Ovis aries: one gene and its partners. The protein of the gene in region 1 purifies or fractionates together with the protein of each later gene. This does not show direct contact. Links are inferred from orthologs where the notes say so. Each region holds a gene or a part of one and is shown on either strand. Other genes may lie near its edges.

What was found.
Region 2: the proteins of LSM14A (region 1) and EIF4ENIF1 purify together in Homo sapiens (affinity purification with mass spectrometry; 3 studies listed by BioGRID and IntAct, with this or other methods). This does not show direct contact. The link is inferred for Ovis aries from reciprocal best matches to the Homo sapiens genes LSM14A and EIF4ENIF1.
Region 3: the proteins of LSM14A (region 1) and PRMT1 purify together in Homo sapiens (affinity purification with mass spectrometry; 3 studies listed by BioGRID and IntAct, with this or other methods). This does not show direct contact. The link is inferred for Ovis aries from reciprocal best matches to the Homo sapiens genes LSM14A and PRMT1.

The regions. Positions count from the first base shown.
Region 1 is NC_056067.1:44,136,686-44,140,185, forward strand, and holds part of LSM14A (protein LSM14 homolog A), read left to right. Parts: intron 1-1,838; coding exon 1,839-2,021; intron 2,022-2,133; coding exon 2,134-2,305; intron 2,306-3,413; coding exon 3,414-3,500. UniProt on the Homo sapiens protein: Essential for formation of P-bodies, cytoplasmic structures that provide storage sites for translationally inactive mRNAs and protect them from degradation. Acts as a repressor of mRNA translation. May play a role in mitotic spindle assembly.
Region 2 is NC_056070.1:70,131,064-70,135,283, reverse strand, and holds the start of EIF4ENIF1 (eukaryotic translation initiation factor 4E transporter), read left to right. Parts: upstream 1-1,420; 5' UTR 1,421-1,639; intron 1,640-1,745; exon of another isoform or gene 1,746-1,820; intron 1,821-1,955; exon of another isoform or gene 1,956-2,262; intron 2,263-2,730; 5' UTR 2,731-2,757; coding exon 2,758-2,850; intron 2,851-4,220. UniProt on the Homo sapiens protein: EIF4E-binding protein that regulates translation and stability of mRNAs in processing bodies (P-bodies). Plays a key role in P-bodies to coordinate the storage of translationally inactive mRNAs in the cytoplasm and prevent their degradation.
Region 3 is NC_056067.1:55,810,054-55,814,273, forward strand, and holds the start of PRMT1 (protein arginine N-methyltransferase 1), read left to right. Parts: upstream 1-1,420; 5' UTR 1,421-1,466; coding exon 1,467-1,502; exon of another isoform or gene 1,503-2,514; coding exon of another isoform or gene 2,515-2,529; intron 2,530-2,709; exon of another isoform or gene 2,710-2,840; intron 2,841-3,708; exon of another isoform or gene 3,709-3,710; coding exon 3,711-3,764; exon of another isoform or gene 3,765-3,768; intron 3,769-3,962; exon of another isoform or gene 3,963-4,075; coding exon of another isoform or gene 4,076-4,078; intron 4,079-4,220. UniProt on the Homo sapiens protein: Arginine methyltransferase that methylates (mono and asymmetric dimethylation) the guanidino nitrogens of arginyl residues present in proteins such as ESR1, histone H2, H3 and H4, FMR1, ILF3, HNRNPA1, HNRNPD, NFATC2IP, SUPT5H, TAF15, EWS, HABP4, SERBP1, RBM15, FOXO1, CHTOP, MAP3K5/ASK1, MICU1 and NPRL2.

The DNA of each region.
Region 1 (3,500 bases):
CCCACAAGCTATGCAGCACAGCCAAATAAGCAAGCAAATAAATAAATCATGTCAAACAATAAATAAAAGTATCTTTCGCTGCCTTTCAAAATTTAAAACATAAATATCATGCTGTACTTGCTGGCTTGTGGCCAAGACATTTTCAGTAGTAAAGCTGAATATTTAAGCATCCTGCCTGTCCACATTTAAGTGTCTGGCTATACTGCTGAGGATATTTGTGGTTTGTTTTCTCAAACTTGGACAATTGCAAAGTTTTATTTAGAGACTAGTGAGCACAGAGATGTCTATTACTGTGCAGTCTTTATGTGTTATACATTTCACATAATTATAATCATTGAATTCATCCTGCTTTTATAGTTTTCTGTTGAAAGTGAAAAAAAGTCACTCAGCCCTGTCCAACTCTTTGTGGCACCGTGGACTGTAGCCCACCAGACTCCTCTGTCCTCGGTATTTTCCAGGCAAGAATACTGAAATGGGTAGTCATTCCCTTCTCCAGGGGATCTTCCCAACCCAGGGATCAAACCCAGGTTTTCTGCACTGCAGGCAGAGTCTTTACCTTCTAAGCCACCAGGGGAGCCCATATTTTTCTGTCAACTCGTCAAATACTATTCCATGTTTCTCTTATAATTTTGTTTTCTTAACTGTTCCTCTTATTTGGAGTCTCAGGTTTTTACTGTAATTTATGCTACTTTGGTATTGCTTTACCATGCCTCATAAATCTTGTTATTGTATTAAATTGTAAAGAAAGGATAGATACAGGAAGACTTGAATAATATGGATCTATTTAGAGAGAGACCGTAAAGGTGAAGCAGGAAGTGGTTGGAGGGGTTGAGATCTGGTGCTTCTTGTCTTTTGAGGTCTCTTGCAGTTTGTGCTAATGTGCTCATTTATTTTTCTCCCTGTAAATCTTGGTTTCTATGATTTTTTTCCATAAAAGGCTTCTTAAATTTTGAGAACCCAGTATACATTTGACACTTCATAGGTATTAGGGATATAAGCAGAACAAAGTAATGTAGTGCAGAAATCTCCCAAATTGTTTGATTGTATACAGTATCAGCCCTAACTTAATTGGTGGGGAATCTACCTATAATGAGGGAGACACAGGTTCAATCACTGGGTTGGGAAGATCCTCTCAAGAAGGAAATGTCAACCCACTCCAGTATTCTTGCCTTGAGAACCCCATGGACAGAGGAGCCTGGCGGACTACAGTCCCTGGGGTCGCAGGAGCCAGACACGACTTAGCAACTAAACCACTACTACCATACTGTATCAGCAGCATGTTTGAATACAGACCCCATAGGAATAAATTTCATTAAGGACATTTATACATTTCATATTTATAAATTTTATGTGCACTTTTTTCAGTCTCAGGAGGCTCCCCTGGTAGCTCAGCTGGTAAAGAATCCACCAGCAGTATAGGAGACCCCGGTTTGATTCCTGGATCAGGAAAATCCCCTGGAGAAGGGATAGGCTTCCCACTCCAGTATTCTTGGGCTTCCCTGGTAGCTCAGCTGGTAAAGAATTCGCCTGCAGTGCGGGAGACCTGTGTTTGATCCTTGGGTTGGGAAGATCCCCTGGAGAAGGGAGCGACTACCCGCTCCATTATTCTGGCCTGGAGAATTCCATGACGGTATAGTCTACAGTGTTGGCTGCGAGTGAGCGACTTTCACTTTCTTCTCAGTCTACTATGTATTAATTATTTGTGAAACTTCATCTCTTTTTTATATTAAATACAAATATAGTCAGGTATATAGAGACTTATAAGCATTTCTGTTGTTGACCATAAAGACCATAATAATAGCTTCTGCTTTAAACCAGCTTATTCTTTATTAATATAGTTCCAGGTGCTCCTTCAGCTCCAAGGAGAGGGCGTGGGGGTCATCGAGGTGGCAGAGGAAGATTTGGTATTCGACGAGATGGTCCAATGAAATTTGAGAAAGATTTTGACTTTGAAAGTGCAAATGCACAATTTAACAAGGAGGAAATTGACAGAGAGTTTCATAATAAACTTAAATTGAAAGGTGAGTTTTTATTTTTCTCCTCAGAGAATACTCTTTTCTGACCATGTGAATTATGGATATTTAGGCCACATCTTGACTTATATGGTATGTACCTTTTTTTTTTTTTCATTAGAAGATAAACTTGAGAAGCAGGAGAAGCCTGTCAATGGTGAAGATAAAGGAGACTCAGGAGTTGATACCCAGAACAGTGAAGGAAATGCAGATGAAGAAGATCCACTTGGACCTAATTGCTATTATGACAAAACTAAATCCTTCTTTGATAATATTTCTTGTGATGATAATAGGTACAGTCTTTTAAGCTGCTGTTATGCAATTAGGAGGTTGAAGTGTGAAGTGATTCCTGATAAATTCACAAAGTGTAATGAATACTTAAAAGTCCCTAGGGACTTCCCTGATGGTCCAGTGGTTAAGGATCCATGCTTCCCAGTGGGCATGGATTTGATCCCTGGATAAGATCCCACTTGCTGTGTGGTGCAACCCCCCAAAAAAATCTAATAACTACAATTTTTTAATATTTTGATAAAAGAAGATAACTAATACTAAAATTTTAAATGATACTACTTTTGGAAAAGAAGAAATAATCATCTATTTTTGTTTGGGGGTGCATTCACATTCGAAAATTAGTAATTAAAAAAATAGAAGCATTCGTCTAACATCTAAATACCTTTTACTTTATCCCTCTACAGTGTAGGTCAGTTGAAGTTTGCTGATGTAGTAAAACTCTGCTCTATTGCAGTAAATATGAATCCAGAAAACTGGTTGGTTAGAGGACTCAGCACAACAAAGTTGCGGTTTCTGCTGCCTGGCTCAGGCCTGCCTTCTGTTGCATTTTGGTGCCACCCAGTGGTGGTTGTCTGCTTCAGTTTAAACATGGATGGCGATGGTGCTGAATCTGATTGGGCTGTCGGCCAGCAGCAGTGATTCAGAAGCTTTAGGCATCAGGTCCAGAGGTTAGACCAGGAGCCTAGTAGGATCTAGGGAATCAACCCTTTATCCCCTCCCATCCTGAGGCAGGGTTTCCTTTCCCTTTCTTCCTTTGAGGCTGATTGGAGGGTAGAGTCAACTACCAATCCCATTTTTTGAAGCTCTCCAGTTTCTTTGTATCATCAGCTGCATTTGCAATAAACAGTACCAGTCAGACTTTCACTTGAAGTGTAACAGAATATAGTAGGACCATATTGCCATGGATAGCTTGTGATGACTTAGATGAGGTACTTTTGTAGGTTTTTTTGTTGTCTTTTGTGATTTTTTTTGATGCTTAGGAATTATTTAGCCTCAGTTTGGAAATTAAGTGCCTCATAGTCTTGCTGGCAAATGTTCTTTAAAAGTTGATACACTACCAAAAAAAAAAAAAAAACTTGATATACTAAAGATTATTTGTCCTCATAATAGAGAGCGGAGACCAACCTGGGCTGAAGAGAGAAGATTAAATGCAGAAACATTTGGAATCCCGCTTCGTCCAAACCGTGGCCGTGGAGG
Region 2 (4,220 bases), on another chromosome or scaffold:
CTCAGGCCACGCAAGAGACCAGGTGTTAAGTGTTCCAGCCAATAGCTTCATTGGTTCCAGCTGACAGCCACCAGCAACCGTCAACCACGTTAGTGAGCAATTTGATGTTCCTAGTGCCCAACCTTACAGCTGAAGCCGAAGGGAGCAGAGACCAGCTGTCCCAGCTAGAACCACCCCAAATTGCAGATTTGGTGTAAAGTAAATGTTGATTTAAGCCACTGAATTCTGGGACTGTTTGTTAAACAGCAAAAGATAACCAGAAGTGTTTTTAATGTCATCTCTAATTCCCACTAAAAGCCTGAAAAGTAGGTACTGCTGTTTCTTTTTGATAGATGAGTAAACAGGTTCCAAAGGTGAAGTAACTATGGTTTCGCACTGTCAGGGCCAGGATTTAAGAGCTTCAAAAAAAAAATAGGCCTCCACTTCTCCATAGTGGCTTGCGGATAGAAGACTTTGTAAAGAACACATTTTACCCAGTATAACAGACAAAAATAAAAAGTTTTCATAATTGTTTTCTCTGCTGCCAAGACTCAGGACGGGAACTCAAGAGCTCACTCACTGCCCAATGGGCTGATTTCACAAGTGAAGCTTAAAGAAAGCAGGCTCATTGAAAGATATGTAGATTTCGCTATCCTTCCACGAGAAAAATGACGTTTCCCTCCACAGTCACGTATCATTTCATGGTCCCACGAGGCAGAAACGGGCTCGTGAAATTCCTGCAGACCGGGCTCACACGCGATCCCCGTTAAACCTTTCCTCCCAGCACGGCAGTTACTCTCATTGCTCACAGAGGAGGGGAATCATATTGATATTTTTGCCTCTTTGTGGCCCTTGTCTGCCGGTCCCAGCACTACGTACTAAGCGCTTGACATCTGCAATCTCATTTTCAGCCAAAAGCACTTGCACTTCCCCTTCCCGTGCAGACTAAGGAAAGATTCAGGTTACGGGGCGGGAAAGAACATTTCAATGAATGTGTCAGTCGCCCGTAGCTCATTCAAAAGCAACCGTGGCAGTTTTATTAACACAGCAACGCGTAATCTCGCTTATTCCTCATACACATAGATCATTGCAGTAAGAAGAGCGGAACTCAGTCAGAGCTTTGCCCAACATCACACCACCAGTTAAAAAAAAAAAAAGTCGAGGTTCGAACACACTCCGGAAGGCTCCACGCTCCCAGGTTCGCCTAACACAGAATCCCGCTCCCGAAGCCTCAGGGTTCTCCGCCGAGAACGGATCGTGCAAACGCAGCAGCCGCCGCGTTCCCAGGTTGCGGCCCCCAACCCACTTCCCGGCCCCGGCTGCCTTCCTCGGACGGCCGCCGGGCGGTGACGGAGGGCTCCAAGCTCCGCCCGTCCCGTCCTCCCCGGCCGCCCCGCCCCGAAGCGCGCGTGGGAACGCGGCGTCCTCCCCGGGGCTGCCCGCGACGACTGCCTGCGCGCATCCGGGAGGGCTCTCCCGGCGCCCGGCCCGGTCTCCACCCGCCGCCGCGATCGCCTCCCGGCCTCCGCCTCCCCGCCGCCGGGCGCACGCAGGGGCCGGCGCCCTGGGAGCGCGCCGCCGTGCTCCCCTTTTCCGGCCGGCACCGCCGCGGACACCTCACATCCGGGCGCGCGGCGGCGAAGGCGGTGCTGGGGCCCGGGTGCGTGGAGGGAGTTATTAAGGGGGAGGGGGCCGGGGAGGAGGGGCGGAGGGCTGGGCCGCGGTTACGGCGGCTGAAGGGAGACAGCCGGGGCGGGTGGGGGGGCGAGAGCGAAGGCCGCGCGGAGCAGCGCTCGGGCCGGCGCGGGCGGCGGGGAGGGGAGCGGCGGCCGAGGCAACCAGTAAGGGCCGGGCGGCAGCGGCGGGGTCCGGGGCTCCGCGCGCCTGGGCCCGCGGGGAGAGAAGGGGCGCGGGCGCGCTGAGCCCCGGGGTCGCGTGCGTGAGCGCGAGCGCCGGGGCGCGCGCGGGGGGCGGGCAGGGACCGGAGGCCAGCGGGGCGGCTGGCGGGCAGCGGGCGGGCTGGCGGGGCCCGAGCCGCCGGGCCGGGGCGGACGGCGGCGGGCCTGCGCCGGCTCCAGCTCGGAGCGCCGGGGCTGGGGGATTCGGCCCTCCCGCTCCCTCCGGCCCGCCTCCCCTCAGTGAGTACCGTCCCCGCCCTTCCTCCGAAGGCGGCTGCTGGGCCGGGGCCTGCGCGAGAGGCCGGGGGTTGGGGTCGCGGCCCCTTTGGATCTGAAGCCGGCGCTCGCCCCTTCCTTGGCACGGGCGCCCCTGACATGTCCACAGGTGCGGCGGGCCGGGCGAGGGGAGCTGTGGCCCCGTCCCCAGTCCCCTGCCTCCGGTAACAAGGGGCAGCTGGCGCCGTCCATTGGCAAGTGACAGGCACTTGCCCACTGCGCGACTTCCCCGATCCCAGCCCGTCTCCTACCTGCCCCCACTTCGGGAAACTTCCCCACTACCGCCGGACGGCCCTCACGAGTGGCAGCGACCAGTCTCGGTTTCTTTTTGTATTAAAGCTGCTTAAAGGCTGTCGCCTGATCTGGGCCCGTTCCGCTTCTGCTTTCCTTAGCCTGTTGATGCTTAGAGCTCTTTACGATAAGAGATATCCAAGTACCAGTGGTTTTGTTTCCAGTGGGTTCTGGTTTATAGAAAGGGTTTTTTAAAGGGAGTCCGAGATAATTTCAGTTTCTTAAACAGTGAGGACTCTTAAAAATTTATTGTTCTCGGTGACAGTTTTGTGCTGATTTCTTCCAGGTGCAAAAAACTGTCAACCAAGGAGCCATGGATAGAAGTGTGGGTGAAACAGAAAATGGAGATGCTTTTCTCGACCTGAAGAAGCAACCCGCTTCCAGATCCCCCCATCGCTATACAAAAGTAGGCTTTGTTACTAATGAAATAGTGTTTCTTTATAGGTGAGGAGATTGGTAACATTGTGCAGAAACTTCATTAGTATCGTTTAAAGAGGTAGTCTCATTCTGACTAACTATGTGGACTAAATATTAACTAGACTTAGTAAAACATTGCTTTGAACTTTTTTTCTGAAAGTACAAACACCCAGACTTTAAAATTTGCCCCTAAGTAGGCTTCCACTGAGAAGAAGGCAATGGCATCCCCACTCCGGTACTCTTGCCTGGAAAATCCCATGGAGGAAGGAGCCTGGAAGGCTGCAGTCCATGGGGTCTCTGAGGGTCAGACACGACTGAGCGACTTCCCTTTCACTTTTCACTTTCATGCATTGGAGAAGGAAATGGCAACCCACTCCAGTGTTCTTGCCTGGAGAATCCCAGGGATGGGGGAGCCTGGTGGGCTGCTGTCTCGGGTCGCACAGAGTCGGACACGACTGAAGTGACCTAGCAGCAGCAGCAGGCTTCCACTGAAGGCTGCCCAGATCCTCCCTGTGTGAATTTGTGGATCAGAATATGTTGGCACTTCCCTGGTGACTCAGTGGTACAGAATCTGCCTGCCAACGCAGGAGACCAGGTTTCGATCCCTGAGTGGGAAAGATCCCCTGGAGAAGGAAATGGCAACCCACTCCAGTAATCTTGCCTGGAGAATCCCATGGACAGAGGAGCCTGGCCAGCTACCATCCATGGGGTCGCAAAGAGTCGGACAGGACTTAGCAACTAAACAACAACGAATGTGTTGGCGCACACTTTGTGTAACAGCTGTGCCGCTGACTTACAGGCCGTAGAGGAAGGATTCCAGCTCTGGGATGCCTCACAGACATCAGTGTCCTCTGTGCTGATGTTTCCTTGAGAGCTGAACTCACAGGAGTACTCTGGTATGCTTGCCTGGGGAAACCAGATTTTTAAATTCTTTTTACGTGCTGTTATAAAATGGATATGGACTCAAGAAAGTAAGACTTCGATCATATTTCCCTTAGCTGAAGACTTGTGGTGATTTCAGCTCCTTTAGATGCCTGCTTTTCCTGAGGTGGTCGGGGGAGGAATCACCTCAAGGTCATGTGTTTATCGAAGCTATTGCTCCACTGTCTTGTGGGCTCCTGGCCGTTTCTGAAGCAGTTGATGCGAGCATTGAATTCTTTCCTGGTTCCCCGAAATGTTTTGGGCTGTAGTGCATTAAATGTGCTTGGGACTGCTGGTGGGAAGCGTTATGCCCCAGTTGGGCCTTGTATCTGTTACTTCTCTTGTATGAGCCCAATCAAGGACTCTAATGTGGTGGTTGTCCCAGGCTTCCCAGGATGCTGACTGGTTCGTGTTTTAAACTCGGGCCTTCTGTGTGCG
Region 3 (4,220 bases), about 12 Mb from region 1:
CTGGAGGGGATGTGGAGCACCTAGAACTCTCACGCATCACTGATGGAAATGCAAATTGGTAGAATACCATAGGAAACTTTGGGGCAGTTTCTTATCAAGTTAAACATACACCTAGCATAGGACGCGCAAGCATGTCCTCCTAGCTTGACCCAAGAGAACTGAAAGTGTACATCTACAGAAAGGTTGGGACACGATGGTTTATGGCCTCTTTATTCATAACAGCCCTAATCTGGAAACCACCCACATGTCCACCAAGAGGAAAATGTGATCCAGCAATACAATGGAATACTCCTCAGCAATAAAAAGGGCTGGACAATCGTTATATGAGACATGAACGAATCTTGAAAACATTATGCTGAGAAAAACAAGACAGGCACAAAAGAGCACATACTTTTATTGGAAAATTTAGCAGCTGAAAAGATACACTATAGTAACGAAACAGTGATTGCTTCTGGGGTTGGGTGGGAGGGCGGTGTTGAAAGGGTCGTGAAGGAACTTTCTAGGGTGATGGGATACATTCCCCAAGTAGCAGTTACCTTCATTCAACAAGTAACTTTTTCTACAGGTCGAGGGAAGCTACCTGGAGGAGGTGGCGACTGAGTTATGCCGGGACTGACTCATGAAGGCCAGACGAAGGGGGTGGGTGTTCCAGCATGGGTAGGACTTGGCAAAGGCCAAGTGCTTGAGTGGGGTCACTGGGTTTTAAAAACTTGTAACAATTAAGTAGAGGGCTAAAGATTAAACACCTCGACGCCTGAGTCCCATTTCTGACTTGATTCAGGATCACGGATAAGACCTCTTTGAGCCTCTCACTGCTTCAGTTTTCCATCAGGAAAATGGGCACAAGCTCCCTTATTTCCCGTTGGATTCCCTACAAGCTGGGAGAAGCCACAGAGTGAACGGTGAGTGACAGTTTGTTTGAGCCAATCTCTGGAGCCTAAAGCCTGCTTTCCTTTTTCGTGGGCCAATCGTCACGTTCTCCTTGAGGCCAGCAGCTTGGCGGAGGCAGGCCGAAAGCCTCATGACGTCACATTGCTAATAAACCAATAGCAGCTATTAAGAGGCGGGTACTTTTGGTGATAGTTCTATTTCAAGATGTCCGCTTAGCGCAGGGTCCGCCGGGAAGCTTTGAGGCGGTACGGGAGAAGGGGCGGGAACTCCCAGTAGATTCTGCCCAATCGTCAGTCGCGCTTCTTGCGATAGACGGGCAGTCTTTCCCATCCCCGTCGACTTAAGGGGGCGGGGTTCGGCACGCCAGAGTAGGCGGGCACCTCAGCTTTGATGGGTGTCTCCTTCGCCCAATGGCTAAATGGTATTTCCAGACGGGTCACCTCCTCTACCAATGAGATCTCCTGGCGGGGTCGCGGTGGGCGGGCCGTAGACCCTCCGGTATAAGGCGGTCCCGGGGGAGTGCGGAGAAAGGGGGGGGGTCTCGGCGGCCGGAGGAGGAGTAGACGCGGGTGAAGATGGCGGCAGCCGAAGCCGCGAACTGCATCATGGAGGTGAGCGCCAGGAGCGCCACCGGGGGCGGGGGGCGGTTTGGAAGTCGGTGTTTTACGCCTCCGCCGTGGGGAAGGGGCTCTGAGTCGCCGGATTGGGGTTGAAGGCCCCTGGCCGTACGGAGGGGGGCGCCGCGTGCTCCGTATCCGAGGATACCGTTTGAACTGCGGGTTCCCTAGCTTTCGGGGGCCTGAGGCGCCACGCCGAGCCGAGGGCCTACTGCCCCCTCCCACGTGGAGGAGGGCTGGGGGCGCTTCCGGCCTGGCCCCCACGTGGCCGTGGCACGGTGGGTGGGGAGGGGGTGTGCCGTGCCCGCTTGCCCGGCGGGTTCCACGTGCGGGACAAAGGCCCCGCCCCCGGCCAGGGGAGGGGCGCCCCGGGGGGGGGCGGAGAGGAGGCTCCGACCCTCCCTCCGAGGCCCCCTACCCTCCTCCCCGGGGATCGTGACGGGCACCTCGGGGTGGGGACCTCCGTGCAGTAATGAGGCTCTTGGGAGGGGCAGTGTGCCTCGACCCTTAACAAACCCTTTCCTGGGACCAGGGCATCTGCTTAGGCATCGGTCCAGGTTTCGTGCGCTCTTGCGTTGGGATTGGAGGAAGACGAAGAATTGGTTCCCTCTGGGACCCCTCCTACCCTCCAGTTTCCTGTCTCTGGATTCTCCCCCTCTTTGGGAGCTGGGGGGATGGGGCATGCCCCTGTGACCTCCCTCTGGTCTATGGGGGGGCATCGAGCGGAAGATCTTTCCCGATTAGGCGCTGTGCACCCCCTTGTGGCCATTTCTGGGTGTGTGGGAGGGACATCTTTTTCATGGGGCGTGTCTCCAAGCCCCCCTCCCTGTCGAAGCCCTCCCGGGCGAGGGGAGAGAGAATCTGTCCTGGGAAGGGCTGTGAGGTAGTGGAGGCAGCGGATTTACCTCCTTCTGGCCCTTCCTCTCCCTGGGGTATTTGTGAAGATGGGAGTTGACCACCTCCTCCCTGAACCCGTGTTTGAGGGTCCTGAACCTGCTTGCGTGAAATGGTGTCCCGTGAGGTGTGATTCTCTTGCAGTTATGTGGGGCTTGCCATGATGCTGTGTCTCAAGCGCTCTGGGGGCATGTCTGGCGGTGATGTCGGTGGTGTAGAGAAATGGGCCCTCAGGGGAAGTCCCCTCACCCGCCGTCTTTCCGTATCCGCGTCATTCACTGGTTTGGGGAGGATGGAGGTGGGGCTTGGAGCCCAGGGGTTATGTCTGTGATTTCACGCTTCTTGGCGCCTGGAGAGTGCTTGCATCTGGAAGAGCTGTAATCTGTTGGGCCCTCCGTACTCTCACCTCTTAGCTTGTAGCAGTCTCAGGAATGGGAGGTGAGGTTCCAAGATGCATACCTTGGGGGGCAGCCCCAGGGGTCACTCCAGTGACTCCCCCTTGGCTCTCTGCTAGACGAAGGCCTTCTTGGCTGGAGGAAATATCTTCCTCAGAGGTGGATCCAGGACTCGGCCCCTCCCCTGGGGAGTTTCTGGGCCTGAGATGGTGGTTCGAACGGGGAGTAGATGGGCTTGGGGGTCCAGGGTCTGGCCTCCTCCGTGGAACTCTGCCCTCCTGCGCAGAGGGTCATAATCAGGAGATTGGCACTCCCTTGTTTTGTTTGGGACTCCCTGAGTCCCAGGCAGGAGCTAGCAGCCCGCATGCCAGCTCTGGTGGGGGGTGCCCGTGTGCCACACCTCCTTTCTGGAATCCTCTCAGATGAGAGAGTGCTTTGCAGAGGTGACAGATGCCCAGTGGGTACACCCTGCCAGTTCCCTTCCCCCAGCTCGAATGGTACCCCAGGATGAGGCTTTGTGTCAGGAAGTGTCATCTAATCTGGGGAGATTAGATGGTGAGGGGGAGTGACAGCTGGCAGTGCCCTTGTGCCCGGCGGGTGCCAGTTCCTCTGGCCTGGATGGGGGAGGCGTGTGTGCTCAGGTGCCTGGCCCAACAGGGGCAGTGTGGGGGCAGGCCACCATCTCTCCAGCCACAGCTGGGATAGAACCCCCTCCCTGCTCCCCCACATCTCCCCCACCCCTGTTGAAAACAGCCTTGCCTCTTTACTTGTTCCTTCTCCCACCACTGCTCACAAAGGAAAAGCAAAATTGTAGGAAACACCTCCTTCTTGCCCAAGAGCCCGGGTCGCCTGGCCTGGCCCTCCCCTAGCCGCTCCTGGTAGCTAATCCTTTCTCCCTGTTACTCTCTCCTAGAATTTTGTAGCCACCTTGGCTAATGGGATGAGCCTCCAGCCGCCTCTTGAAGAAGTAAATATCCTTTTGTGAGACCCCTTCCCACATACACATTTCCTCACACGTCACGCCCTTTTTAGTGGTCTAACTGATCCCTCTGGCTTCAAACCACTTTACCCTTGGCCCCCGAAACACTTAGTCCAGACTCCGTCCAGGTTTGGGCCCCCACCTGGCCTCTCCCAATACTGTGGCTACTTCCTTAACTCCATTTACAGCCCCCCACCCCACCTTTGTCCTTCCCTGTGTCTGCCCCGCTTCCGCCTTCCTCTCCCCTCCCTTCCCCAGCTGTGGGCTGAGCTAGAGACGGGGGCAGACAGACTGGAGAGATGGTAGGCCTGGCTGAGGTATCGGGGGTGCCCTCCTGGATGGTGCTCTGGGGGTGGGGGGTTCCTGGGCGAGGCAAGACGGCAGGTGGGGGCTGTAGGGTTGCCATGGTACGGTTTGGGGAGTGGTTCTGTATACTCCATGGGG